Xenopus tropicalis: one gene and its partners. The protein of the gene in region 4 interacts with the protein of the main gene of each other region in a biochemical or structural test. Links are inferred from orthologs where the notes say so. Each region holds a gene or a part of one and is shown on either strand. Other genes may lie near its edges.

What was found.
Region 1: of the proteins of mapk1 (region 4) and dusp3, one has a biochemical effect on the other in vitro, tested with the Homo sapiens proteins (2 studies listed by BioGRID and IntAct). The link is inferred for Xenopus tropicalis from reciprocal best matches to the Homo sapiens genes MAPK1 and DUSP3.
Region 2: of the proteins of mapk1 (region 4) and cacybp, one has a biochemical effect on the other in vitro, tested with the Homo sapiens proteins (2 studies listed by BioGRID). The link is inferred for Xenopus tropicalis from reciprocal best matches to the Homo sapiens genes MAPK1 and CACYBP.
Region 3: of the proteins of mapk1 (region 4) and dusp1, one has a biochemical effect on the other in vitro, tested with the Homo sapiens proteins (2 studies listed by BioGRID and IntAct). The link is inferred for Xenopus tropicalis from reciprocal best matches to the Homo sapiens genes MAPK1 and DUSP1.
Region 5: of the proteins of mapk1 (region 4) and tpr, one has a biochemical effect on the other in vitro, tested with the Homo sapiens proteins (2 studies listed by BioGRID). The link is inferred for Xenopus tropicalis from reciprocal best matches to the Homo sapiens genes MAPK1 and TPR.
Region 6: of the proteins of mapk1 (region 4) and hif1a, one has a biochemical effect on the other in vitro, tested with the Homo sapiens proteins (3 studies listed by BioGRID). The link is inferred for Xenopus tropicalis from reciprocal best matches to the Homo sapiens genes MAPK1 and HIF1A.
Region 7: of the proteins of mapk1 (region 4) and srebf2, one has a biochemical effect on the other in vitro, tested with the Homo sapiens proteins (2 studies listed by BioGRID). The link is inferred for Xenopus tropicalis from reciprocal best matches to the Homo sapiens genes MAPK1 and SREBF2.

Annotation. Positions count from the first base shown.
Region 1 is NC_030686.2:31,704,126-31,708,384, reverse strand, and holds the start of dusp3 (dual specificity protein phosphatase 3), read left to right. Parts: upstream 1-1,459; 5' UTR 1,460-1,622; intron 1,623-2,264; 5' UTR 2,265-2,308; coding exon 2,309-2,430; intron 2,431-4,259. UniProt on the Homo sapiens protein: Shows activity both for tyrosine-protein phosphate and serine-protein phosphate, but displays a strong preference toward phosphotyrosines. Specifically dephosphorylates and inactivates ERK1 and ERK2.
Region 2 is NC_030680.2:98,106,954-98,111,052, reverse strand, and holds the start of cacybp (calcyclin-binding protein), read right to left. Parts: upstream 2,801-4,099; 5' UTR 2,712-2,800; coding exon 2,691-2,711; intron 793-2,690; coding exon 582-792; intron 1-581. UniProt on the Homo sapiens protein: May be involved in calcium-dependent ubiquitination and subsequent proteasomal degradation of target proteins. Probably serves as a molecular bridge in ubiquitin E3 complexes. Participates in the ubiquitin-mediated degradation of beta-catenin (CTNNB1).
Region 3 is NC_030679.2:41,976,985-41,980,923, reverse strand, and holds the start of dusp1 (dual specificity protein phosphatase 1), read left to right. Parts: upstream 1-1,139; 5' UTR 1,140-1,358; coding exon 1,359-1,728; intron 1,729-2,225; coding exon 2,226-2,374; intron 2,375-2,792; coding exon 2,793-3,012; intron 3,013-3,574; coding exon 3,575-3,939. UniProt on the Homo sapiens protein: Dual specificity phosphatase that dephosphorylates MAP kinase MAPK1/ERK2 on both 'Thr-183' and 'Tyr-185', regulating its activity during the meiotic cell cycle.
Region 4 is NC_030677.2:154,036,574-154,040,073, reverse strand, and holds part of mapk1 (mitogen-activated protein kinase 1), read right to left. Parts: intron 1,916-3,500; coding exon 1,784-1,915; intron 1-1,783. UniProt on the Homo sapiens protein: Serine/threonine kinase which acts as an essential component of the MAP kinase signal transduction pathway. MAPK1/ERK2 and MAPK3/ERK1 are the 2 MAPKs which play an important role in the MAPK/ERK cascade.
Region 5 is NC_030680.2:119,711,629-119,715,753, reverse strand, and holds the start of tpr (nucleoprotein TPR), read right to left. Parts: upstream 2,801-4,125; 5' UTR 2,639-2,800; coding exon 2,488-2,638; intron 143-2,487; coding exon 38-142; intron 1-37.
Region 6 is NC_030684.2:101,985,074-101,989,084, reverse strand, and holds the start of hif1a (hypoxia-inducible factor 1-alpha), read left to right. Parts: upstream 1-1,211; 5' UTR 1,212-1,571; coding exon 1,572-1,606; intron 1,607-4,011.
Region 7 is NC_030680.2:120,124,212-120,128,504, reverse strand, and holds the start of srebf2 (sterol regulatory element-binding protein 2), read right to left. Parts: upstream 2,801-4,293; 5' UTR 2,654-2,800; coding exon 2,581-2,653; intron 1-2,580.

The DNA of each region.
Region 1 (4,259 bases), on a different chromosome or scaffold from region 4:
CGCGTTACACTTATGCGTGCGCTGGACAGTTCCTCCCCTGACGCGTTACACTTATGCGTGCGCTGGACAGTTCCTTCCCTGACGCGTTACACTTATGCGTGCGCAGGACAGTTCCTCCCCTGACGCGTTACACTTATGCGTGCGCAGGACAGTTCCTCCCCTGACGCGTTACACTTATGCGTGCGCTGGACAGTTCCTCCCCTGACGCGTTACACTTATGCGTGCGCAGGACAGTTCCTCCCCTGACGCGTTACACTTATGCGTGCGCAGGACAGTTCCTCCCCTGACGCGTTACACTTATGCGTGCGCAGGACAGTTCCTCCCCTGACGCGTTACACTTATGCGTGCGCAGGACAGTTCCTCCCCTGACGCGTTACACTTATGCGTGCGCAGGACAGTTCCTCCCCTGACGCATTACACTTATGCGTGCGCAGGACAGTTCCTCCCCTGACGCATTACACTTATGCGTGCGCAGGACAGTTCCTCCCCTGACGCGTTACACTTATGCGTGCGCAGGACAGTTCCTCCCCTGACGCGTTACACTTATGCGTGCGCAGGACAGTTCCTCCCCTGACGCGTTACACTTATGCGTGCGCAGGACAGTTCCTCCCCTGACGCGTTAAACTTATGCGTGCGCTGGACAGTTCCTCCCGACGCGTTAAACTTGTCGGGTGGGGGACCATGCAGGGGGGTGTTAGGGGGGCCCCTGCGGGGGGACAGTGGGGGCACCAGCCCCAGTGGGCCCTGCACCCCTCAGTCCGACCCTGTGAGGACAATTTATTGGCACAATATTGCTTTTCACACAATATGTTCCCATTTATCATCTTCTTTACGTAAATCTTGTCCCAGAGAAGGTTTTGTGCAGCTGCAGTGAAAATGCCACAGATCCTGCTGGGCAGGTGGAGCAATAAAGGCAGGAAACAAAAGTTTTGCCTGATAGATAATACTGTCTGAGCACCTCTGGGGGTACAGGATACTGTATTACTCACTGTTATACCTGCAACACTAACGAATGATGACTATCAGGCAAAAGAGAGTGGTATTGCTTTCAGGCAGGCCTGAAGTGAAGGGAACACAGTAAATAAGGGGATACATACACTAGAACAACACCCCCAGCTCTGCAGCCATACAGCCCGGCTGTGCGTCCCAGTGAGCTGCCTGCGGACACAAATACTAACATGCTTGTGCTTTCCGAATTTTACGACACTGCGTTATTTCTACACGACCCTTTCACGGAAAAGAAAACTATGCAGGGCTGTGCCCTAGTTTCCAACTGCAACGTAAAATGTTTCCCCAGAGGAACATGTTAATAACACCGCATTCCACTCACCAAATAGTCCGTGTTTCACACTCGTGGCGAACATCAGTTTCCGGTTCATTTTCTGTGCGTTTCCGGAATTTTACACCATGCTTTAAAGGTTACCGCTAGTTCCTAGCAGCGGGCCGGCCTCTCATCAAGTCACTTGCCTATGGGCGCAGCGTCACCGTCACATGGGGCAGTGTATTGGGCCGTAAAGCGCCGCCGCGGTGTGACTAGCGGGTAGTACTGCCCGGACGCTGCAGCTTTTACACAGAGAGGGGGTTACAGAGCAGTTTATATTTGCAGATCTCATCTTTCTGAGGTGTGTTGCCCTTAATATGTTGAGGGAATTGGGGGCAGCTTTTTGTGTGCTGAGGGGTTTTTTTTTGTAAGTGTACTAAGTTTTTTTTGTAGGCTTAATTTTTGGGGGGTGTTGAGTGGGGTTTTTTTGTGGGGGACATACCTCCCAACATTTTGAAAAGGGAAAGAGGGACAAATGTTTTGGCCACGCCTATTTTTGTGACCACGCCCCCTAAATAACACTCCCATTTAACTAAATTTGGCAGGTTATTTAAAGTTTGAACACATTTCTGGGGATTTTGGGGTCTTGTTTTATGTGTTTGGTTAAAAAAGCTGAAATTGCCCATTAAGCTGCAAGTCTCAGTTTCCCCAAGAGACCTGTTTAGCTTATTAGTTACAATTGTTTCTCAGTGCAGGTGTTGAGTATTCTGGGCTCTCTGCCAAAAGCTACTTATCTAATTAAGTTTCAGAAACTTTGTATCTTTTTTGGCATTCAGTGCAGGGGATCAAAAGGAAATGAGTAAGAATCCAGGACTGTGGGTTGAGCTGTCAAATGAGGGACTGTCCCGCGAAAATCGGGACAGTTGGGATGGGAGGGAACAATATTCATATCTTTAAACCCCCTGATGTGGGTTTTTTTTTTCTTTTTGTTGCCCTGCAAAAGTTCGGAGGGCTCTAAGCTGCAAAGAAAGCTTCACCCACTTGGCCATGTCTGGTTATGAGGTCTCTGTTCAGGCTCTAAATGATCTGCTAGCAGAAGAAGATGGCGGTTACTGCTTTCCATCAGAACATTTCAACGAGGTGTTTCCCAAAATTTACGTGGGTGATGCGTAAGTTACATTTGTGTATGGTTAAAGGAAATAGGGGGGGGGGGGAATACAGGTTTAGGCAGAGAACCTAGGGGGAGTATATTTTGATTTTGGGAATCCTCATAGAACAGTCGGAGATTCTGATTATTTGTATCACTGTAAAACACGCCAACAGGAATACCATGAAATTATTTTCTTTAAAGCAGCGGTTCTCAACTTGTGGGTCAGGACCCCTTTGGGGGTCGAACGACCCTTTCACAGGGGTACCTAAGACTATCGGAAAACACATATTTCCGATGGTCTTAGGAATCATTTTATGGTTGGGGGTCACCATAACATGAGGAACTGTATTAAAGGGTCGCAACATTTGCACAAGCAGAATGCCACAAACTCTTGTGCTGCTTGCCCTCCTCAATAGCTAAAAGTTAGCATAAAATTAAAGATGGCCATACATTCCCCAGACTGCAGATGTTTAATTGTATATACAGGGTAAGGGATCTGTTATTCAGAAACCCTGAAGCTGTCACACTTATAGTTAGTTACATAGGGTTGAAAAAAGACCAGTGTCCATCAAGTTCAACCCATCCAAGTAAACCCAGCACACCTCCCAATCTATACACTCACATACATAAACTATAAATACAACCACTAGTACTGACTGTAGATATTAGTATCACAATAGCCTTGGATATTCTGATTGATCAAGAACTCATCCAGGCCCCTCTTAAAGGCATTAACAGAATCTGCCATTACCACATCACTAGGAAGGGCATTCCACAACCTCACTGCCCTCACCGTGAAAAACCACCTACGCTGCTTCAAATGGAAGCTCTGTTCCTCTAATCTAAAGGGGGGGCCTCTGGTGCGCTGATTGTTTTTATGGGAAAAAAGAACATCCCCCAACTGCCTATAATCCCCTCTAATGTACTTGTACAGAGTAATCATGTCCCCTCGCAAGCGCCTCTTTTCCAGAGAAAACAACCTCAACCTCGACAGTCTCACCTCATAGTTTAAATCTTCCATCCCCTTAACCAGTTTAGTTGCACGTCTCTGCACTCTCTCCAGCTCATTAATATCCCTCTTAAGGACTGGAGCCCAAAACTGCACCGCATACTCAAGGTGAGGCCTTACCAGGGACCTATAAAGGGGCAAAATTATGTTCTCATCCCTTGAGTCAATGCCCTTTTTTATACAAGACAGCACTTTATTTGCTTTAGTAGCCACAGAATGACACTGCCTGGCATTAGACAACTTGTTATCAACAAAAACCCCTAGATCCTTCTCCATTAAGGATACCCCCAACACACTACCATTCAGTAGATAGTTTGCGTTTATATTATTTCTACCAAAGTGCATAACTTTGCACTTATCAACATTGAACCTCATTTTCCAGTTTGCTGCCCAGTTTTCCAATTTTGTCAAATCGCTCTGCAAAGCGGCAGCATCCTGCATGGAACTTATAGTTTTGCACAATTTTGTGTCATCAGCAAAAATAGAAACAGTACTGTCTATGCCCACCTCCAGGTCATTAATAAACAAGTTAAAAAGCTTGCTAGTAGGTAAAGCATAAAATTGATCCTTAAAATAACACAAGCTAACCCGAGATTGAATACAAGGAGGAGTGCTGTGGAGAGTGGGCAGTGAGGTGATCAAAGAGAGAAGCCAAAGAAGTAGGATTCAAGCTGAGTTAAACAGGAACAATCAGTAAGAGTAAACAATGGAATCACTGGAAGGACTAGAACGACTTAGTTACAAATCTAGGATGGTTTCCTCTATTGACCACTGCATTAGTTTGCACGCCTGTGCATTCATGCTGTGCATAAGGACGCCTATGTAAAGGTTTTGTGTAG
Region 2 (4,099 bases), on a different chromosome or scaffold from region 4:
GTCTTGTGTGTTATGATACTGGATGGGGGTGGCAACTGTGTTAGAAGAGCCCAAACCTGTGCATATGCAGTACAGAACTTTTCCCAATTTCTGTACTGCACATGTAAGCTCTACGGGGCAAGGACCTCCTTCCTACTGTGTCTCATACCACACAGCACTTATTCCCTGTGGATTACAACCTGGGTGCAAATCAGATAAACAATGTAAATGTGTAAAAAATGCTGATGCACACCAGGAAAATTTAATCAAAAAAAGATACTTCATACCCTTGTGGCGCTTTATAAATAAAGTTATACATACATACATACATACATACATACATGAGCCTAGCTTCAATATTACAAGGGATGCCTGAAACACAAAAAACAAGACGGTGGCATAGGTGTCTAGCAACTACAATAACTGGGGGGGGCATCCCAAACAACCTGACAGCCCCAGTGATTTTTTTTTTTTAAATGCCAGATTGTAAGTAAAAGAAGTAGTATTGGGGAAATGTTTTTCTTAAAGGCCTTAAACAGTGTCACATATCTATTAGCCCTACAAAAAATGTGTTATTTCTTTCAGATCAGCTCTTTTCTCACCATAGTTGTTTATTTTGACTGTGTACGTGCTTGTCATTGGAGGAACAATTGCTGATGGTTTTTGGGTTTCCATAGATTCCCCTGCTTGTTGCTGCTGTTTGGTAGATATTTCTGTCTCCAGCTTACGCTGCTCAACAAATAACACATCCCGCACACGTTTCCTTGTGGCTTTCTCAAGCAGCTGTTTCACCTCTTCCAAGTCTTTCTGAAGCTGAATAATAAATTGCTTTGGTTAATACATAGCGTTATAAATAGACAGCATACAGTCTTATTACTTAATTAAGAATATTGGGAAAACATCAAAATGCCAGTAATCAACAAGAGCCAACATGCTCTGGGAAAATAAAACAGTCATACCTATATCAGTCTTGGGGATATGGCACGTACACTTAGATTGTAAGCTCTACAGGACAGGGACCCCCTTCTGCTTGCACTTAATCTTTAATAAACCTTTACTATGTATTTATAAATGACACATTTGTTCTATTTATGTATTGTTCTGCTGTACAATGCTGCATGCAAAAGTAGTGCTATATAAATAAAAATATCCCATAGTGTTGGTGACATGGACTCCTTAAATGAGCTTAATTTCAGATACATTTGCTTAAATGGTTGCTGTAGGTAAGAGAAAAGTTTACAACAGTTTCCATTAAGGTGGCCATACACGCACCGATATTATCGTACGAAACCTCGTTTCGTACGATAATCGGTGCGTGTATGGCATGTCGGCGAGTCGACCGATATCGCCATAGAAGGCGCCTGACCAAAATTCTCCCTTCAGAGCTGAATCGGCAGAAGGAGGTAGAAATCCTATTGTTTCTACCTCCTTACCTGCCGATTCAGCCCTGAATGGTGTGTGGCGGATCTTACGATGTTTCGTGCGACCGATGGTCGTACGAAACATCGTCAGATCGCCACGTGTATGGCCACCTTTAGTTTTGCTTTCACTTTTATATCCGTAAGACTGCAAAGCAGAGGGAAGACAGGAAAGGCACAGATACATTTATATTTGCCAGACTTAAGATCTTTCCTACATCGTCAATACACTACAAACTGCAATAAAATTCAGCCAAAGAAGGCATTAAAACTAATCTGTTCTATGTGATAAGGTGGCACAGCAGCATATATACAAACAAATACAGGCTTGTGCAGCCCTAATCATTTTTTCAAGCCCCACAACATGAACAAATTGAGCAGCAGCTTGGCACATTTCATGCAATTTTCATGTGAGCAATTCACAAAACAAAAAGTGTTAAAGGTACAGTATACCCCCTTTATCAACATTGCTGCAATAAATAGGACTTGTGCAAAACATTTTGCCTTTCAGTTAGGCAAAACTTTTAAAATTACAATAAAGCCACATTTTACTTTCTGATTCTAAGAATCAATTCCAAACAAACCAGCAGTCCACCGAGGAGCCTTTGTATAATGAGCTGCTTTTTATCCAAAAAAATAACAGGCTGTTTCTGGGGGACAGGAGGGGTTTGTTTATACAGAATCTTCTCAGTGGGCTGCTGGTTATTTGATTTGATCCTTGGGATCGGAGAGTAGAATGTGGCTTCAGTTTCATTTTCTAATTTTTCTGTTTTAAGAGCAAGAAATAACAAAATCTATATATATATATTATCTAATGAAAAGGACAAGACAAATGTTCAGTACAAAACCTATTTATTTAACCAATGTGGAAAAAGAGGGGTATTCTATCCCAATAGTGCAGAGTTTAGATGGGGGGGGGAGAAAGAAGTTAACAAACTGCGCCCACCCCAAGGGTTTGTCATAAGAATCAATAACTGTGTGCCCAGAGACCCTACTGATTTTTTTGCAACTAATAACCTAATGGGAAAAATAAGCATAACTGTAACTGGTGCCCCCTATTATTTATTCCTTATTTTATAGGAACAGGAAATCTGGGGGCCCTGCTGGTACTATGAAACGTATTACCCATGATTAACCCAATCGCTGCCCCAAGAGAACACTATACATAAACACAGCGTTTTAGCCAAGCAGAACTTAGTGACATCCACAGAGCCACGCAGAACAATGCTCTCATTAACATGTTGCGGACAGTAAGTCAGTTGCTCATTAGGTGCGACCATCGAGCCCTCTCACCTCCTGTAGAACGGATTCCATTTCTGGACCAGACGCACAGATACTACGATGCACACACCTTGCTCCCAGGCACTACTAGGCACACACCTTACTCACAGCATGGATTCTCTGGAACCTTCCGCAGCGACTCGTGACGTTAGCAACACGCCCCTTTCCCGGCCCCAGCCTTCCCCCTAGCCAATGCCCAGCCTTCCCCCTAGCCAATGCTCAGCCTTTCCTCTAGCCAATGCCCAGCCTTCCCCCTAGCCAATGCTCAGCCTTTCCCCCAGCCAATGCCCAGCCTTTCCCCTAGCCAATGCCCAGCCCACCTATATTGCGTAAGACAAAGCTCTATGCCTACGAGCGACAACCGTCTGTTCTTGCGTAGTTGGCCCGTTCAGCAGAGAGAAAGCAATGCTGGCATATATCTGTGACCTGTCATAGTCATGACTCCGGCATCTAGCTTTATAAATTCTTTTTATAAGGAGGTAACTTAAGATAAATTGAGGATTTCTGCAGTAAATAGAAGCTTTGTGGAAGTCTGGTGTTATTATTATTGCAAGTGTCCGACTGAGATGCCAGGGGCCCACCAGAAAACCTTGGACTATAGGCCCCCTTTTTTTTAAAGATTACTGCTCCTCTGCTGGCTTAACCTATTTATTATACAAGTTTCTTTGCTGTAGCCTTCCATCTCTTTTTCCCATACAGAAATAGGGAATGACCATGCAATTGGCTAAATAGAAGCAAGAAGGCCCACTGACACCTGGACCCACTGGGAGTTTTCCTAGTATCCTTGTGGACCAGTCCAACACTGATTATTGCAGCCAGACATTTTTGAGTAATCTGTTTTGTAGCAAGAACTCCTGTCAGAATGGCTTGAAATGTCTTTGTGGGTACCTAGAGTATATAGGTTGCAGTGCTGAGAATGATGGGATGAAACTAATGGCAGCAGACCCTGTGGTTGCAAGGGGGCCAGAACCACAGGGTCTGCAGTACTATAGTCTCCCCAGCCCATCTCCTACCTTAAAATATTGTGGGAGTGGGGCAATGTGAGAGGGTCAGGAGGTGGTGGAGGGACTGGTCTCCCTGGGCCCCTTTAGAAGATTTTTTTTTGCAGGGGGGCCTGGAGCAGCCAAGTTATGCCACTGGATGGAACTAGAAATGATTTGTATAGGTTAATCTGAAACCCTAATTCAACCAACAGGGAAATACTGTAATATCACCTTTTATTTTGATGAGAAACTACCTGTCTTGGTGTACAACAAACAGTATCTCTAGAATATGCCCTTGAGACAGGAGTGACTCATGATGTCAAGATTTTTTTCTGAGAACCTCCAGCAAAACACAGTACAGAAACCTTAAAGGAACAGTAACATCAAAAAATTAAAGTGTTTTAAAGTAATTCAAATATAATGTGCTGTTGCTCTGCA
Region 3 (3,939 bases), on a different chromosome or scaffold from region 4:
AGCTGATACTCAATTCTGATTATTTCTGATGCAAAAAAACAGCGGTCTGAGGCTGAGCATCCACTCCCAGCCATAGAGCTCATTTTCAATCCAGCCTGCCTCTATTGCAAAATCTTGATTAATAAAATCAATTCTTTGTGTGGTTAAGTACTTTTTGCAGGCCTTGGCTCACAAGAATTGCTGAAAACTAAAGGTTTATTGGATGGGTCTCCAAGCTGTAAACTCGTGTGTGTAGTGTATGCTATTCTGCTATTATATTGCCCCCCCCCCCCCCCCCCCCCACTCTGTCAGATGCCTTCTTTAGAAGATAATAATTATGGATGTGCTGGATATGGTGAAAAGATCAAATGCCTTTTCCATCTTTCCAAAGCTCAGTGGATTAACCCACATATTTTACAGCAAATCGTTAGCAAACCAGAGGACCAAACAAAGGGCTTTCAAAAGTATTTTAAGAATGTTAATCAGAAAAATCGCATGAATGATAAGTACCATCTGCAAATAGTTTTATTCTCTGTGAAACTGGTACTGAGCAGGACCTAATCATCATAAATCCAGAACTGAGTTTATTTGGGGGGTGGGGGTAAATTGCCTCATATCGGGACGTAATTCTTAACATTCCACAGTAACAAATCTTGATCACCAAAAGTGAAATAGAAACTGATTATAGAATATGGAAGCTGTGGTGTTAACTTCATTCCAAACAGAGCATTCACGTATGACATCACACCAATGAAAAAGTAGTACACACGAATAAGCAAAAAAAAAATTAGAATAAATCAGTGATGAATAAAAATTCATCAGTTTGTGATGTATTACAAAAAATACTGAGAACACTTCGTGCCTCTTATTTAAATAAAATCCTGAGGGCTCCACTGAGCTCCTTCTGACGGGTTAAGGTTACAGCAGTTTATTTCCTGCTCTGGCAACATGACAGCTCTGAAGCGTTTGTGTGTATAGAGTGTTTGACTTTGCTGCTAAGGCTCTGATGACGTTAATCTACTTGGCGGGGTTTGCCAGGAGGGGCGTGGCTAGACTCGCTGAAGTCACCGACCCACGTGATACAAACCATTCATAAAACAACTCCCATTGCCCTGTATAAATAGGAGGCTAGCTAGCCGAGCTCTAGCAAGAATTCAAGCCAGCAAGGAAACATCAACTTTAAGTAACCGTAAGAAACAAGAAGGAACCAAGAAACACAACTTTAAAGTCTGGCTTGTTTTAGATAAAACGTTTAGATCAAAGCAGTATTTATTTTTTTAACAGTTAATAAGCTTTTATTGGATCAAAGAGGCGCCGGAGCGTAAAAGAAGCGGGAGAGTGGAGCAGCCTATTGTTGAGGATTGTTCGGCACATTAACTATGGTCAATATGGAAATCTGCGCTATGGATTGCTGCGTGTTGAAAGGACTGTTAGCTGAGAGAGCCCACAAATGCCTCATATTGGACTGTAGGTCGTTCTTCTCCTTCAGCTCCTCCAACATCATTGGCTCCAGCAATGTTCGCCTGAGCACCATAGTGAAGAGGAGAGCTAAAGGCAGCATGGGCTTGGAGCACATCGTCCCCAATGAGGAGCAGAGGTGCCGGCTGCTGGCTGGGATGTACGAGGCGGTGGTGCTGCTGGATGAGAGGACATCAGAGCTGGACATGCTAAGGAAGGACAGTACCATGATGCTGGCAGTTAATGCCCTATGTAGGGACTCCAGGGGCAGCAGCATCTACTTCCTAAAAGGTACATTAAGCTCCACTTCTCACCGATAAATGTGTATTGTTGGGTACTTCTACTTTAAACGTCAGGGGTGGCCAGCCTGTTGTTGAATTTCCCTCAGATCAGGACCCAGCCTTCCTCCAGTGCTCAGGGGCCCTCCATATCAAAGTCCAGTCCTGACACTGACAGTGTTTATATGTAACATTTTGTGCACTTCAGTGGCAACTCTGTATCTCCCTGTGGCTGCTGAGTGAGGCTTGTGTTCACAAATGCACTTAGTGCAGTATGACCCCTACCTACCACCCTGAATTTAGTCATTTAGCTGCAATTCAGATTTGTCCCATTCTCAGAGCTTGCACTTGGGTGACATTATCACAAGTAAGGCAAGTTAGGTGTTTGATCAATGTGGCCACTTAGAAAACAAGTGCTTAAAGGGCAATGTGTAACAAATCATGCAATTACAGCCTCTGTTCAACTTCTGTGTACATATCTAACCATTCGCATGTTATTGTGTATTTCAGGTGGCTATGAGACATTTTCTTCACAGTGCCCAGAATTCTGCAACAAAAGCTCTCCTCCAGTTTGCCTGAGTTTGCCTCTTAGTACCAGCAATGTGCCAGGCAGTGCTGACTCCAATTGCACTCCTTGCGGAACTCCACTCTATGACCAGGTTAGTATTTATTCTATTCGTTAATCCTGCCATTCTCTAAATGGCAAAAACTGGTAAAAATTCCCCCCTCACAATCTCTGTCCAGGCTATTCACTGAATATTTACCAACACGCATTGCTGATAAAGATCTTTGTTTTGTTTTTATCCCAGAACAATGAAAACTGGCAGTGCATAGCTACTCTTTAGCATACAGCCATATAGGAAATGTGTAATTCATAAACTAGAATTTTACAAAAGAAATTCCTTAACTGAATGTAAAAGTCAGACATGAGTGTAACAGTTCTATAATGCCTGGGCAGTGGATAAAACTGGCACAATCTAGCTGCACTCGCCAATCCCTGTGTATATAAATGAAACAAAACATTATTTACTTAGTGGTTCTTATATTTACCATATTGTTTTTGCTTATGTATTTTAGGGGGGACCAGTGGAGATTCTGCCTTTCCTGTATTTGGGCAGTGCATACCATGCATCAAGAAAAGACATGCTGGACGCCCTTGGCATTACAGCCCTCATCAATGTATCAGCAAACTGTCCCAATCACTTTGAGGGACACTTTCAGTACAAGAGCATTCCCGTGGAAGACAGTCACAAAGCAGACATCAGTTCGTGGTTCAATGAAGCTATTGATTTCATAGGTAAGACGAAACTCACTTTTGTCTTGTCAATATATAGAAGACCATTCCTCAAAAGTGCAGCAATATTATTGTGTAGCAATATTATTATTACGTGCTATGCATTAACATTCAGTTTCTTACTTTCTAATGTTTTCAGTGGTCAGCTGTAATCTTAGGGAGAGTTAGATTGCCCCCTAGTGGGTAAAACCAATTACCAGTATGGTTTCTTCACAATCTTGGACTACATTCATTCACATATATTTAATATGTGTTTATTAAACTTCTATTAAACATGTATTTAAATATTTGGTATATTTTTTTACATACACGTTTCAACACATAAACACCTACTCCTTAATACTTTCTTCTGTAAATAGGTTAATAGGACTAGTTCATCTGTGGAATCTCAGGCTTGTATGCAAGACCTCTGTTTTTAGTATTGTATGTGCTCATGTAGCTCTGAGGTTTGACTAAAAAATAATTGCAGTTTTAGCTGTAGGAGAAATGAAAAGAATTTTAGTTATCATGTTGCAGATCTTTTACAAGTTCTCCCAAAAATAACCTTTGTTTTGTTTTTTCCCAGACTCAGTAAAAAATTCCGGTGGAAGGGTTTTTGTCCACTGCCAAGCTGGTATATCCCGATCTGCTACCATCTGTCTTGCCTATCTTATGAGAACCAACCGTGTGAAGCTGGATGAAGCATTTGAGTTTGTCAAGCAACGGAGAAGTATAATCTCCCCAAACTTCAGTTTTATGGGACAGCTTCTTCAGTTTGAGTCTCAAGTGCTAGCACCATCATGTTCAGCAGAAGCAGGTAGCCCTACAATATCTGTTCTAGACCGAGGAACATCCACTACCACAGTCTTCAATTTTCCTGTTTCCATACCTGTCCACTCAGGAACAAGCTCTCTCAGTTACCTTCAGAATCCCATCACTACATCGCCAAGC
Region 4 (3,500 bases):
GATTTGCAGGTCGGCTTGGAGAAGTGAGAGGTCAGTTTTCACCTCCTCAAGCTTGGAGGATAAAGCTACTCGGCTGTCTGTTAGCTGCAAGGACAAGCTGGATTGCTTGTTCCTGTAGAGGAAACGGGGCATGGGCCTCTTTGTCCTCTCTGGGTGGGGTAGTGCCGCCATCTTGTGTAGGCTGTCAAAAAAACTGTCCCAGTTTGGCAGCGGCTTCTGCTCATGATATTTGTGCCTTGTTGCCACCCATAATCTATATGAAGTCAGATGTTGTATCGTGGCTCAAATGTTGGTGTGTAAGGTCGCCTAGAGAGGCAAATTCAGGATAGTTGCGATAGAGCTCACAGGCACATGTCCACTCAGGAAGCCATGCAGGCCACGCCCCCCCTTAAATCTCTTTTAATTCGTTTACAAACCCCTTGTTAACCAACATTTCATGCTGAACATGTAGAGCACCTTGATTCCCCCCAAAGCTAGAATTTCTTTGACAACATATCAGTAGGGAGAATTGGGAGCTAACTGATCTTTTTCTATTAAGTGCCCCATGAATCAATTGTGCAGGTAAGTATTTGCCTGGCTTATGGTTTATAAAAGATAGTTTAGAAGACACAGTGCAATATAAAAATGCCCTATTCTGCAGGCAGGTTTGAACTGACAAGTGGAGAGACTGCAAATTAATGCACTTTGTGGTAAACTCCAATGCAGATGTTTTTAGGCTTTACTTACTCTAAAGGAGAAGAAAAGCTACTCAGGCATTTTATTGCCAATAGATTAGTCACAATAGTTTGAGCTGGAATACTATATTTATTCTTCAGAACTCTTTATGATACCTGAGTAAACAGCCCTAGAAGAGCCCTCTGTTTGTTTAAGCTGCTGCCATTTTAGCTTGGTGTGACGTCACTTCCTAGCAGCAGCGTACAGGCAGGGAACAGCTCTCAACTAAGATTACAGTACAGAGGCAAGGGAGAGAGAGCAGAAGGGAGGGCAAGAGGAGCAAACTGAGCAGACTTATGCTGTGTCCTAAAGGATTTTTCCAAGAGAAGGAAGTCTGACACAGAATATCATGTATACAGAATAGAAGGAAAGAAATTAATTTTTTTTCACCGAGGACTCAGAGAAGCAGTTCTGCAAGTGTTTATGGCTGTATCTACATAGACCTTTCTTAAAAAGCTTACTTTTTACCTTTCCTTCTCCTTTAATATGGTAGCTACAATATTATAGCCAACACTGGCTATATGCTTAAAACTGTAAATCTTTCTAATGGTCACAGTAAAAAATATTTCAGTACGCTGGATAACATTAACACAAAGCAAAATATAGGAATAAACAAAAGGATCAATCTACTGTATAGTCAGATTCAAAATACACAAACTTGTATTACCGCTTCTTTCAGCCTACTCAGTTGAATCAATGTTCAAACCTGCTTAATGGATCTTTGTAAACGACCAGTATATTGATTTTAAAAACAGCAGAAGTAGACTAATAGTAAACCTTCTATTAAATATAATTTGCATCATAAAGTAAGTATTAGAGAACACATTACTGACAAAGCTTAGCTCCTGGTTTGACTATATCAGACAGTAGGAAATTATTGTCCCTGATGCATTTAATTTATGAAAAACCATCAATCTCTTACTAATTCTGACGACTGTTTTAACAGAGCACTTAATGCAACCAATAGGTTGAAACAAGTGGCATACAGTTTAAAAATATATTATTCCTTGGAACAGTAAAATCTTTCCCTTTCATCCCCACCCCCAACCAAAAAATGAATTCAAATTACCTTTAGGATCTGCATTAGGGAAAAGTCTGTTCCATGGCACCTTATTTTTGTGAGGAAGGGAAAGCAAGTAATTCCTAGCTTTTAAATTGATTATACAGTTTAGGTCCTCTTGAGATGGAGATCCAAGAATTCCTGAAAAATACGGAACAGTTAACTTAAACATACAATTATAAGACACAGCAACCATGAAAATCATGTAAATTATATTCTTAGAAATGGTTGTTAGTAATGTAATCAGTTATAACAAGTGCTTACTAATGCAATTTGTGTCACGTGACTGCATGAAACATGATAAAATATACCCCTTCTTTAATATGAGGGTCAAGTCAGAGGTCCATGACCTAAATGACCTTTATCCTTGTGCCTTTATATGGTCATAGAACCCCTCGTTGCTTCTAATATATTATATTTATGAAAGCTAGACTCCTTTTAAGCTGGGTGCCAAAAAGTGGTCTGCAATACAATACTGTCCAATAAAGGTGGACCGCAATACAATATCAGTGTTGCTATAAATTTTACCAAGCAGGAGTCAGTGCCTATAATGATAACCTACTGCTGTTCTTTATGGTCTCATTGACCCTCGCAAGCAATGGAATAAATGGAACCATGTTTATATAGATTACGGATTGGGTTGGAGAAAAAAAGACAAAGACCAAAGTCCATCAAGTTGAACCCCTCTGCACATATATACACACACTTTATACCGATCTATGCACGTATATACGCACGTAGCTATAAACTATATAGCTGGAGCAGGAACAGACTGCCTGTGACATTGCAAAGCCCTGCCCACCCTATGCATATTCACTGCACTTTAAGTAGCTGCTGCTCTGTTACTGAAGTCTATCAGGGCCCCAGCCACATACTGAAGAGTCTAAACCGGAAGCTTGCAAAAGGACTGGGTAGAGCACAGTTTTCAAGCAGTTATGGGCATATTTGAACCAAAAGGTATTAAAATAAACGCACTTACTTCTATTTGACATTATTTTACATGGTTGAGTGCATTGTAAAAATGTATAGTATTTGTCCCCTTTAACAGAATCTGCCATCATAAATTCACTCAGCAGGGTATTCCACAACCGCACTGCCCTCGCCATGAAAAATTTCCTACTCTGTTCCAAAGTTCTGTTCCTCTAATCTAAAGAGGTAACCTCTGGTGCATATGAAAATCAGAACAATTATGAAATGACCACAGCATCTATTCTCATAAACAGAGGATTCCGAGCTGCCACCAAAAAGTTCTGGCAGCTTCTGCTGAACTAGGGAGTCAAAAGCATGTTGACTGAGAACCTACTCACCTACAGTTTAACAGCTAAGAAAGACTGCCCACTTTTTCTGGATTCTGGAAAGTAAACTGCCAAAAGGGTACTATGTCAAAAGCAATGCTATGTCCCATGTGAAGATCAGTACTGTCTCACGGCCAGCTGGTTTTGGTGCCTTCCTAATGAATCAAGCAAGCTGCCGTTGTGGCACATCCAAACCTAATCCACACACACACCTAGCTGGGGAAGGAGGTTCGCTGTACCAATGGCTGTTGCACTGCTTGGAATTCTAGAATATAGAAGTAGCTTCATTTGCTGAGGAGACCACAATGAATAAGGCACAACTAGGGCTAAAAACTCTCAACTTACATCACCTTTTTATACATACTGGGAACCTCTATCGGGGAGATTCTTTCCCGATATGCCTAACCGAGGTGACCGATATTGGGCTGAAC
Region 5 (4,125 bases), on a different chromosome or scaffold from region 4:
TAACAGATAAACATATACGGATTATTCAGTTCCATACTTTGTTTACTTAGTTGATCCCTCAGATTCTGACACTCCTGAGATTCAGTCACAAGTCGTTCCTGGCACTGAGCCAGCCTTTTCTCAATTTCAAAGTATTGTTGATCTAAAAAAATATATATTTATTGTTTTTTTTGAAAGGTGTATTTTATCATTTAACTCAAACACAAAACATAAAAGCAGCGCATCTGACAATACAATGGGATAAAATGCAAGTATTTAATTTTCCAGTTCAAATTATACAATTGCAATATACATAATCTCCAGGGTTCATTACAGGCATTAAAAGGATGGGTATAACAGTACAGATTGTAAACCTGGCAGTAGTTTGTGTATTAGGTCCATCAACCAACTAAACTAGGTACTCAGGTTGTGTCAAAAGAAGTGGGGAGGCTTGGGTCCCGGAGTCATGAGATGTATATGGGTATGAAACTCCTCAGTTACCCTTCAAATCACACCAGGGACCAATAAACTGTCAAATTTATCCAATGCACCCATAGTCTGATACAGGAGGTATGTATAGAGGAATGACCGTGTTCACCAAATTCTTCCAGGCTGTAATGGTGGGCAAAGTAGGGCCCAGCCAGGGCATTCCACTTTTTTTTTTGCATAAAACAGCAGTATTCTGTAGGGCAGCCGGGAGGTATTTCGAGCAATTATACTATCTAAGATTCCTTAACAGACAGGTTTCAGTTGTGTTCACGGTAGGGAAAGCTAGTTAGTCCTTCTGTCCAGAACCTTACAATATGATGTGATGAAAAGATCATTTCAAATTTTTTGCGTTTTTCAATGGATCTTCTAACTGGAAAAAGGACAGCTGCCCACTGACTTCTACATGCCCTCAACAGCATTTAGATGGCGTATCTTTATTTAAGGATTGGTCCCAGTCTTGATGCAATGGTGAAAAAATTACCTTTTTTCCCCCACATAAGTTTTAGCGCAAAAAACATTGGGGGTGGGGGGAAATATTAATGTTAGTAAATGCCCCCTTTGTGTTTGCAATATAACATGATCATTTAACATGATACCATTTCTATTGTTTCATTTTAAAGTGCAAAATTCACACATCCGATATTTGATAAAATATAAATGGTCCCTGTGCCAAAGTAAGCCTGTCTTGAGGAACCATTTATCGCTATAAACTGCACTGGTTAGGGTGGCTAGATAATTCCTAATCCATTTTCAGGGTCTAACAGAATTCTGAAGATCCTTGCTACACAGCTTGCTGGGGAAATCATATAAGTCAGGGATGCCCAAACTTCAGATCTAAAGGGAAAATACACACCTTTTTGAAATGAGCTTATTTAGCTGGGCTTATGAAGAAAAAGTGCATGAACACAGACTGAACTTCCATAAATATAAATTTACTTATAGCGATATTATGTATGTGCTTTTTGGGACCAGTTCCCAAACCCTTAGACCAACGATCTCCAGCCAGTGGCTCGTGAGCAACATGTTGCTCATCACCCTCTTTGATGTTGCTCCCCGTGGCCTAAAAACAGGTGCTCATTAGTTTAATTTGCCCTGGAGACATAGAGACCATGGGTACTACCAAACAGAGCCTCCTGTACTCTGCCCCTCCACATATTGGCTACAAAATAACCAATTACAGGCTCACGCCCAGGAACTTTTTTTATATTTAAATATTGCTCACGGGTTAAAAAGGTTGGGGGCCGCTTCCCTTAGACCAGGGGTGGACAAACTACGGCCCGCGGGCCACATCCGGCCCCTTGGCCTTTTTAATCCGGCCCGCCGCCAAGTCTCATCACGCGAGACTTGGCGTCATTGGCGGGCCGGAATTAAACAGACTAAGGGGGCGTAACGCTGGCCTGGTCCTGCCCTGGTCTGGTCTGGGGGTAAGTAAATGTGGCCCGTGAGCCAAAAAGTTTGCCCACCCCTGCCTTAGACTCACAGTGGAAAGCAAACCACTTCTTTTACCATAGTGAGGGACTCTGGATCTCAAAGCTCCTCTGCTTTCCAGATAATTGGTGCATCACCCTACATAAAAAACAGGGACATCAAGTTCCAAAAGCAATAACTTGACAATGGAACAATGTTGCAATACACTGTCAGTCTAATGGGGAGAAGGAACTGTTCCCTTTGACATTCATATTTATTTTTGGAAACTTAGATACGGTTTATGTACCATTTATACATAAACTGACGCCAGAAAGTTGGAAAACCTTATCTGCTAAGAAGCCCCGGAGATGCTGAAAGCAGAGCAATTGCCCCTTCTGCCCATAGCCCCACAGATGCCTGTGCCCAGAGGGAAAGGTATAAAAGTAGCCACTAGCTTTATTGCTTGTGCTTTGCATAGACCACCGGGGGCAAAAAACGTGCACAGACAAATTGTAGCCATATAGATCTATGCACCGCATGGGCCATTCTGCCTGCAATTCCCCACATGAGAATCGATAACCTGCCAGAAACCGAACGCTCGCATGTCCGTACCGCAATCCACCCGGAACTTCTCGTGTCGGGCTTTCACGGATTCCATTTCGGCTTGTTGCTCCGATAAAAAGCGTTCCAGTTTCGTCTGCGCAGCCTTGGGCAGCTTGGCCAGTTCAGCCCTCTCCAGCACTTGCTGCAGAACAGCCGCCATGTTGCCGGCAGCGTGAGCTGGTAAGGGAAATGCGCTGCCACTGATACTGCCACAGAAGATACCCACCGGAGGGGGGAAACGCACAGATCGCTGGGAACTGAGGATTTCTTTAAGGCGCCACGGGCTGACGCATAATTATGACGACAGCCTTTCCAAGCCTAGAGGTTCTTGGGAAAATATAGCACCCAAGGGTGTCGCGATGTGATGACGTCAATGGAATTCGCAATTTCTTCAGAAACAGCGATTATCTTTGAGTAGGGAAAAACTACTGAGTACAAGTCTAAAATGGTTTCTGAAGTTCACAGTCACCACTTCGCTAGTTGTCCGTGCTACTTTGTTTTACAGCGCCAATAGTCTTTATATTTTAGAAGAGTTGTTTGACCAAAACAAAAATGGCTACTGGGAAGAGGGTGCGTATGATTGTGAGTCAGAGGGAAAGGCGACTTTTGATTGGGGGGCAATTTCTACAGCCCAGTCAGCAGTGTGGCTGGGAGAGAGAGGTAAGGGACGCTTAGCTGCTATTTGTACAGAAGTGAGGCTAAACAGATAGCATTTGGTTTGTTATAGCAATCGGGGGTGAAAATCTGGATTCATAACAGCAGTTTCCAGATTCCTGGAGAGAAAATGCAGACCTGTTGCTTGTAGCACCTTTCATTATCTGCGTTGAGCTACTGTAGCGAACAGTTGTTGGACTTAATAAAGCAGCTGTCACGGTCCCTTGGTTACATGGCTTTGGTGAATTGGGGGTGAGCAAAAAGAATAAACTGGCTATTGCTCAATATAAACATCTAACCTATAATATTTACTGCCTTATTTTGATGTGCTCACTGGTGCACCAACAAACAAACAAAAAAATGGGCTTTTTACCTACAGTCTTCAAGCAGTGCTGCAAGGCATCTACCCCTTTAGCCTTGCACAAAGTTGTTTGTCAGAAATATCTCATTTATAATCCACTTGTGCTGTAATAAAGATATTGCATCCACCACAACCTATCCTGGCAGGGTATTCCACAACCTCACTGCCCTTACAGTGAAAGTTCAGTTCCTCAAATCTAAACAGGTAGCATTTTTATGGGAGAAAAGATCCCCTATTATCTGTCTATAATGCCCCAGAATGCACTTGTGAAGAGTAATCATTCCCCCTTTTAATTCACATTTTTTCCAGAGAATTCAACTCCAGCTTTCACAGTCATATTTTAATTCTTCCATCCCTTTTATGTTAGGTTACACGTCTCAGCACTCTTTCCAGGATATTTAAGGAGACCTGTCACCCTAAGAAATAATGCCAAATTATATTCTATCATACTAGTTGAGCAAAATATACTTACATTATATAAATTATTTTAATTTTGCTTCCTTCAGTCTTGGACTTCACAGTCACAGCAAGCAAGCACCATTTTTTGGACACTGTTATAAGGGAAATAATCATCCCCAGAATCGTGTGTATGTGCCAGAATGGGGGGACCTAATGGACATGCCCATGCACTG
Region 6 (4,011 bases), on a different chromosome or scaffold from region 4:
CCTCTTTTCCAGAAAATACAACCCCAACTTCAACAGTCTCACCTCATAGCTTAAATCTTCCATCCCCTTTACCAGTTTAGTTGCAGTCTCTGCACTCTCTCCAGCTCATTAATATCCTTCTTAAGGACTGCATCATCCCTTGAGTCAATTCTCTTTATTATACAAGACAGCACTTTATTTGCTTTAGTAGCCACAGAATGACACTGCCTGGAATTAAACAACTTGTTATCTACCTCATTTTCCATTTTGCTGCCTGGTTTTCCAATTTTATCAAATCACTCTACAAAGTGGCAGGATCCTGCATCCTGCATGTGTTTTGCACAATTTAGTATTATCAGCAAAAATAGAAACAGTACCGTCTATGCCCTCCTCCAGGTCATTAATAAACAAGTTAAAAAGCAAAGGACCAAGGACTGACCCCTGCGGTACTCCACTAACCACACTGGCCCAATTAGAAAATGTTCCATTTACCACCACTCTTTGTAAATCTATCCTTCAGCCAGTTCTCTATCCAATTACAAATATTATGTTCTAGGCCAATATTCCTCAATTTTATCATTAACTTTTTGTGTGGTACTGTATCAAACACTTTAGCAAAGTCCAAGTAAATGACATCCACAGCCATTCCAGAGTAGAAGTTCCTGCTCACCTCCTCATAAAAGGCAATTAAGTTAGTCAAGATCTGTATAAAACCATGCTGGCAAAAACGTACTGTTTTTTGCATTCAAGTATTCTTTCCCTTATTACCCCTTCCAAAAGCTTTGCTAGTCGATGTCAAACCAGCAGGCCTATAGTTTTCAGGCTGAGAAACGGAACCTTGTAATGAGGCCCAGATGCACAAAATGTCTAATATGGACTCAGCCCAGCAAAGCAGCATGCCATTTGTACCACGCACCCACTACTGCCAGTAAACCGGACATTTAAGAGCAGTTTTGAAATCCTAGTTCTACAACGACAATCCTTTTCCTGCAGTTAGTCAGCAGTGCAAATAAACTTTTTCAGACAAAAACGTCAGGACAACACGAGTTCTCAAAAGTGGAAGGACAATATTTTAATATATAATCCCTTATTTGCAGCAGACATTGCATTGTAAAGTTATACATTAAATTTATTGGCACTGGGCATGAGTGGGTTAAGGCTCATCCGACAAATCGGCCTCCGCCCCCCTCCCACCGAGACCAGGGAAAAGTGGGCAGGGCAAAGCCGCCGAGGGCTCGGTCATGTGTGAGCCTACTGATTGGCTGCTGCGATCTACGTCGGCGGCAGCTCGAACTGCACACCCACTCGGTGACGCAAGCACTTTCCCCGAAGCGTTTTGTTTGCGTTGAGTTAGAAGTCATCGGCCGAACCGGGAGAAAAAAAAGAAACACCGCGATCGTACGGTCGGATTGAGCGGAGGGATTGCGTCAAAAAAGAGTTCCTGCCGGTGTTGTCGGGGTCTGACCTTGCGAGCGCCTCACGCCTGTGGATTACAATAGCCCTTTCAGTAGGGCCCTCGGTTTCTGCGTGCATAGGACAAAACCCTCGGCGCTTGACACAGCTCCGGAGCGTCCCTCCCCCACTCGCTTGGCATGGAGGGATCTGTAGTAGCGAGCGACAAGAAAAGGTGGGTGCTCCGCCTCTGTGTGCGCCCTCTGACCTGCTGTTCCGCTGTCCGAGACCCCTGGCCTCACACCCTTTCCTTTAGTCAGGCCATTGCAATGAATGAGCTATTGATTCCATAGGGCAGAGTTGTAGATCTGAGCCACAGGTTGAGCAGAGAAGCACAGGGCCTGCCTGCCAACGCCGCTTGTGTTAGTCCGGGCAGCAGTGGAGGCTGCTGTGGGGCTGAGTGTGCTAACAGCCGGAGGGGCCGCCACTAAACAAATGTTGTTTTCATTCCAACTCCAACACTAATTTGTTTCCCATCTGTACTAATGTTTGCCCTTCCTGGACCTTCTGCGTCGCCATTTTGTGCGAGACTTCCTAAGTTTCTGCTGCTTCCCTGTTTGCTTCAGCTTTTATACTGAGCCGAGTGCCAGGCTGCTGTGAGTGTAATGGCAGCCCCACACACCAAGGCCTCTCATATCGGTTATTTCTGTTTAACTGATTATAACTAGCAATGTACCACATTCATGTATGTATTCTCCACTTACAACTATTATTCTGTGTGTATGTATATATACATACATAGAATTTGTTTAAGCATTGCTAAACATTTGTACCATACTTTTTCTGTGATCGTAATATTTAGTCAGGACACTATTTGCAGGGAGTGGGAAATGTTAGTGATACTAACTCAGGGGTGATTATTATTATTATCATTAACATTTATGTATAAAGCGCCAACATATTCCGCAGCGCTGTATAATAAGTAGGTTTCATACATTGGACATACAGAGTAACATATAAAGCAATCAATAACCAATACAAAAGGTGGAGAGCCCTGCCCAAAAGAGCTTACAATAGAAGTGTATTAGATAGTCCTGGAACTTTTGTAGGGTGGCAGTTAAAAATACGTTTTCACATAGGTGACAGTTTATTGATCCATACAGGAGCCACGTTCAGCAGGGTTAAAATATATTCAGTTGCTTCCATGTCGTTTGTGGCATAGGATATGCACATATTTTAGCACCATAGCAGTATATTAACTTGTGGGGTATAACCTTTATTTACTGTAACTTTGTAAGGTCATATGTAAAGGCATGAGAATTGTGATAACTATGCCAGTCAGTCATGTGATGTTGAGTTGCCGTAATGTATTTAGAGCAAGAGTAGTATGTCTCCCTCACCCAAATGTTGTGTAAGCTAAACCCATGTTTCTGGCTCGGATGATGTTTCTAAACTTCAAAGTTGTGTGATTGCCATAGTCTCCTGATCTATCTTGGGAGTTCATAGAACACCCAGAATTGCCTCTTATCTTATTGAATTTACACATTGTATCGCTTCAATGTACACAGTGCTCTACATGTCATAAACACAAACCAAGGTTATAGTTATCATAAATTAGACAGTGAGAATAAATCAATACTTAAAGGAACTGTTCAAAGTAAAAATAACACTGGCTGAATAGGCTGTGCAAAATAAAAAAAAAAAAAAAATGTTTTTACTATGGTTCGCTAAAAATGTAATCTATAAAGGATGGGGTGAGCGGATGTCTAATGTAATAGCCTGAATCTAGCTTCCTGCTTTGCATCACTCTAAACTGTTAGCAACTAGAAGGGGGGCCACATGGGACATCACTGTTCAGTTTGTGTGCTTTTAATCCTGACCTGCCTGCTCATGGTCAAAGTCAAACTAACTGGACAGTCGCTGACTAGCTAACAGGTTAGAGAGAAGCAAAGGAGTTAGTAGTTTTCTGGTGTTTATTTAATACATCTTTTCACTCCAGCCTCTATATATTACTTTTTTTGGCTAACTTTTTTAACAAACAGACTATGCAAAAATGTAAATAAATGTTTTTAATACAGTCAGTTGGGAAAAAATGTAATAAGAAAGGCTGGCATGAGCAGATGTCTAACATAATAGAATTTAACTTCCTCCTTTGCATTTCTCTAACCTAGATAGTCAGTGACTGTTAAAGTAGTTTGTGAGCACACAGGTCAGGGTCAAAGGCGTTTGCCTTTGACCCTGAACAGGTATGTCCGGATGAAAAAAATCTGTGTGCTTTTTAGTACTGTTTGATTCAGTCCTCTTTAAGCAGTCATTTGAAGTTGCCTGGAATTTGGAGGTCTGCTTGAGGCCATAGTTGGATTGCATTCAGTTACCAAATCTCAGCATGCACAAGGCAGTAGGAGTTGATATATTAATTTAATATCCATTCAGGCTGATTTATTGGTAATTACAGTATATTTTTCCAGGGTCGAAGGGACCTTGTATGTAAACAGGCATAAATACTAGAAAAGTGTAGGAAAAGTTAGGAAAGCTCAGTGGTAACCCCCCCAACTACATGTAAACGTGTTTCTTGCTTGAAGTTGGATAGTTTTAACAAGCAACCAAGATACACTGGCATTAAAATTGGCCTGGGTATAA
Region 7 (4,293 bases), on a different chromosome or scaffold from region 4:
ATGCACAAAAACAATTTCTGTTCTTTGCCTGTATTTATTTCTATCCACTGCATATCTGCTTTCAGTGTTAATACATAGGGGCACATTTACCTATCCACGAACGTCCGAAAAGCGCCCGAACGTGTTTTTTTTGTAATGGTCGGTATTTCGCGATTTTTTCGTAAATTGACGCGACTTTTTCGTAGCCATTACGACTTGCTCGTAAATTGTCGCGACTTTTTCGTAGCCATTACTACTTGCTCGTAAATTGTAGCGACTTTTTCGTAGCCGTCGTGCCGAGTATGAAAGTTTCGGAATCATTCAAGCTTCAGTATCGTGACTTTCCTTGGGCCGGGTTGGAGCTGCAGAGTGCCGTTGAGCCCTATGGGAGACTTTCCTTGGGCCGGGTTGGAGCTGCAGAGTGCCATTGAGCACTATGGGAGACTTTCCTTGGGCCAGGTTGGAGCTGCAGAGTGCCATTGAGCCCTATGGGAGACATTCCTTGGGCTGGGTTGGAGCTGCAGAGTGCCATTGAGCCCTATGGGAGACTTTCCTTGGGACAGGTTGGAGCTGCAGAGTGCCATTGAGCCCTATGGGAGACTTTCCTTGGGCCAGGTTGGAGCTGCAGAGTGCCATTGAGCCCTATGGGTGACTTTCCTTGGGCCAGGTTGGAGCTGCAGAGTGCCATTGAGCCCTATGGGAGACTTTCCTTGGGCTGGGTTGGAGCTGCAGAGTGCCATTGAGCCCTATGGGTGACTTTCCTTGGGCCAGGTTGGAGCTGCAGAGTGCCATTGAGCCCTATGGGTGACTTTCCTTGGGCCAGGTTGGAGCTGCAGAGTGCCATTGAGCCCTATGGGAGACTTTCCTTGGGCTGGGTTGGAGCTGCAGAGTGCCATTGAGCCCTATGGGTGACTTTCCTTGGGCCAGGTTGGAGCTGCAGAGTGCCATTGAGTCCTATGGGAGGCTTCCAAAATCATGCAAAGTCGCAAAGGTTTGCCCGCCGTTTACGAGCGCTCAATACGAAAAAGTCACGACAATATACGAGCAAGTCGTAATGGCTATGAAAAAGTTGCGACAATTTACGAGCAAGTCGTAATGGCTACGAAAAAGTCGCAACAATTTACGAAAAATCGCAAAATGTTTGTTTCCAATCCGATTTTTTCCCATTCGGGATTCGGATTTGTGGATTAGTGAATCAGCCCCATAGACTTCAGCATCACCTGCCCTAAAAACCAACCAAACATCAAGGTAAGTGCAGTAAAATACTGAGACCCAAGCTTTGTTTAACTCTATATCTAAACAGCACTTGATTTATGTTTTCAGCAGAAAAATACATTGTTATTGGACCTGCAGTAAAATCTTTTTAGGACTCCATTAAATACTTTGGAAAGACAAGGTACCACACACATATACTGAAACTGGGTATCAGTCATGATGCTTATTCCTCAAACACCAGCAGCTGCTATCCCTGTTGCTTAAGCCTGAAATGAAGGCTATAAATCTAGGGGACGGTAAGGCATTCTATTATAAAGAATGCAAGATGATTGGCACTTTTGCTTAACTGATTTGTTGCCTTTATAACAAAATGTGACATTTTAGTCCAATTCATGTCCAGAAACTAAATTCATTATGAGCAAATGACAAACGTCATTAGGTTTCAGATGCAAATGATCTTCATCTCAGAGTAAAGCAGGAGGAAAAGGGGGTGGTTACGTAATACTTAGCAACCTACATAAACAGGTCAGCCTTCTTGGTTTGGGAAATTAATTAAAATAAAATACCCAAATCACACAGAATGCTAGAAAAGGACAGGTCACAGGAAAGCAGAACCTTTACCCACAAATACAATCTAATAGAAGAAAAGAGTGTATGGACATAGGATAAAAGCAGCTACTCAGTTATGGATGTAGCTTTTTTTTCCCTGAGGAAGAGCACAGTGAGTGCTCGAAACGTTGGATCTCTTTTCTTAAATAAATTTATTTTTTGTCAAGTCCTGGTGTGTGCAGCTTACTTTCTTGCTTTATATTTTTTGCTAGCACCCTGGGCATTTGAACTTCTATAGGGTGTGCTCCGTTTGTTCTTGCTATATTATATATATATATATGGTACAGATGCCCTAGCCATTAAAGCATCAATGCAGTAAATATACAGTAAATATACAGTCCTACATAGACTTGCATCTCCTTCCCCCCCAAACCTTTCCAGCCCAAGTGGCCCAGACCAGGCGCAATGCCTGTAACTAACCTTAATCCGGCAAGGTATATAACAAGGTATATAACAACACAGCCAACACAACCCTAACAAGTTAATGATGAATTATTTCCTTCTGGAATTTGTAATCATATTCTCAGAAAAGGCGTGATTACTCAATGGATTCCACACACTGCAATGAAATGGGGGCCCAACATAAGGACAAAAAGTACTGGATATCAGGAATGACACGGCTAGTCCCCTAAACCGCTAGAGCTGTGTAAAACTACAACTCCCAGCAACCCCTCTTTGACAGCAGCAGGCTAGCTACGCTGTTACTATTTCCCAAACTACAGAAATGTTTTCGAGCCGCACCCCCCTGCAGAAAGATCCGTTCAGTTCCACTCTTACCGTCAATATCCCCTAGGGTGAGCTCATCTCCGAGTTCCGTCAGCGTCTCCATATTTTCCATGTTTAGTTCCATATGATATCCCGGGCTGTGACAACCCTAGCGCTCCCGAAAGGAGCCGGTTCTTGGTTCCCTATTACTGAACCTCACGAACCTGTCACTGACAAAACTGACGCCATGTTTGGGCACCACCTCCCTCCACACTACATGACGTCAATCCTATGTCTTCCAAACCTCGTTTCAGTGCCATGGTTAGAAGCCCAGAATGGATCCACAAAGAGGCGTGAAACGCACCCCGCCCCTCCCCCACCCTGACAGAACTGGGCCGCCTGACGCGGGAGTAAGCGGAATGCCCCGCCTCTTTGCCTTGTACAAACGCGTGCTGGATGTTTTGTTGTCAATGAGACCAGACGCCCCGGACGAATGAGCGAGCTTGACAAGCTGTGGTGTGATACGACGTCAGTGATCAGGGGATGTTGTATTTGCATAGGGGCCCGCCTTGTGTGGTTTATTTAGGAGCACGCCTACGGGGGACATTCAGTGAGGTGTTGCCACTGCTCTGCTGCTGCTGGGAAGCCCATGAAATAAAAAGGGACGGTGTTAGCAAGAGAAACGCCGCTGTAGTGTTACTTATTCAGTTCTTTGGGTTTTAAGAAGAAAATAAAGGAGTAATTTAGTTTCGTTGTGAAAGGTGCAACTAGCTAATAAGGAAATGTTATTAGACAAGCTGTTAAGGAAGTGAAATAATATTGTACTATATGTTATAATAGAATGAAAAACCTGTGCTGTATTGGTGCAGTTATGTGAGTGCTCATTCTGGACTGTGTCTTGGGCAAGTGACATGAGATTAGTTGCCCTGCAATTGATCTCAACTAAAGGTCCCCATACACTATAAGATCATCGCCAAGCGAGCGGATCTTTACCCAATATCCCCACCTACGGGAGGGCGATATCGGGTAGCAAGTTGCTTTAAAAAAAAAAAAAAAAAAAGCCAAACGATCGGATTACAGTTGCGGCCATGGGGCAGTCGGTTCGGGGACCGCATCAACGAGCCAATGCGGTCCCCGATCCGACTGGATTTTCTAACCTGGCCGATCGATATCTGGCCAATTTCAGGCAAGATATAGGTCGGCCAGGCCGCTCGTTTCTGCCCATACACGGGCCGATTAGCTGCCGAATCGGTCCAAGGGACAGATATCGGCAGCTTCTATCGGCCCGTGTATGGGGGCCTTAACTGTGGCAACTAATCTCCTTGAATGCTTTCCTGCCAGTGAGAATGTAGTAGTAAGAAGTAGTAGTCGCCCAATGTTGCCTCATGAGGTAAAAAAACATTGGGCCCCACAGAATGGAACTGCTTATAAGTGAGTGCAAGTACTCAGGAACAGAACTAAAGTTCAACACGGATATTTGTATATTTTGTTGCAGAAATACTTACGTATTTTAGTGCCAAAATCTGCTCCATGTGTCTGCCACTGAGCTGACTTAGTTTAAATTTTATCCTGGATGGTAGGGGAAGCCAGTGCAGGGATTGGCAGAGTGGCACGGCAGAGCAGGAGGGGTTGGAGAGGTGTATGAGCCTGGCAGCAGTATTCATTATGGACTGGAGAGGGGACAGTCTCTGAAGGGGAAGGCCAATAAGCAGAGAGTTACACTAGTCCAGGCGAGATATGATAAGAGAGTGAATAAGAATTTTGGCAGCATCTTGGGTGCTAAAT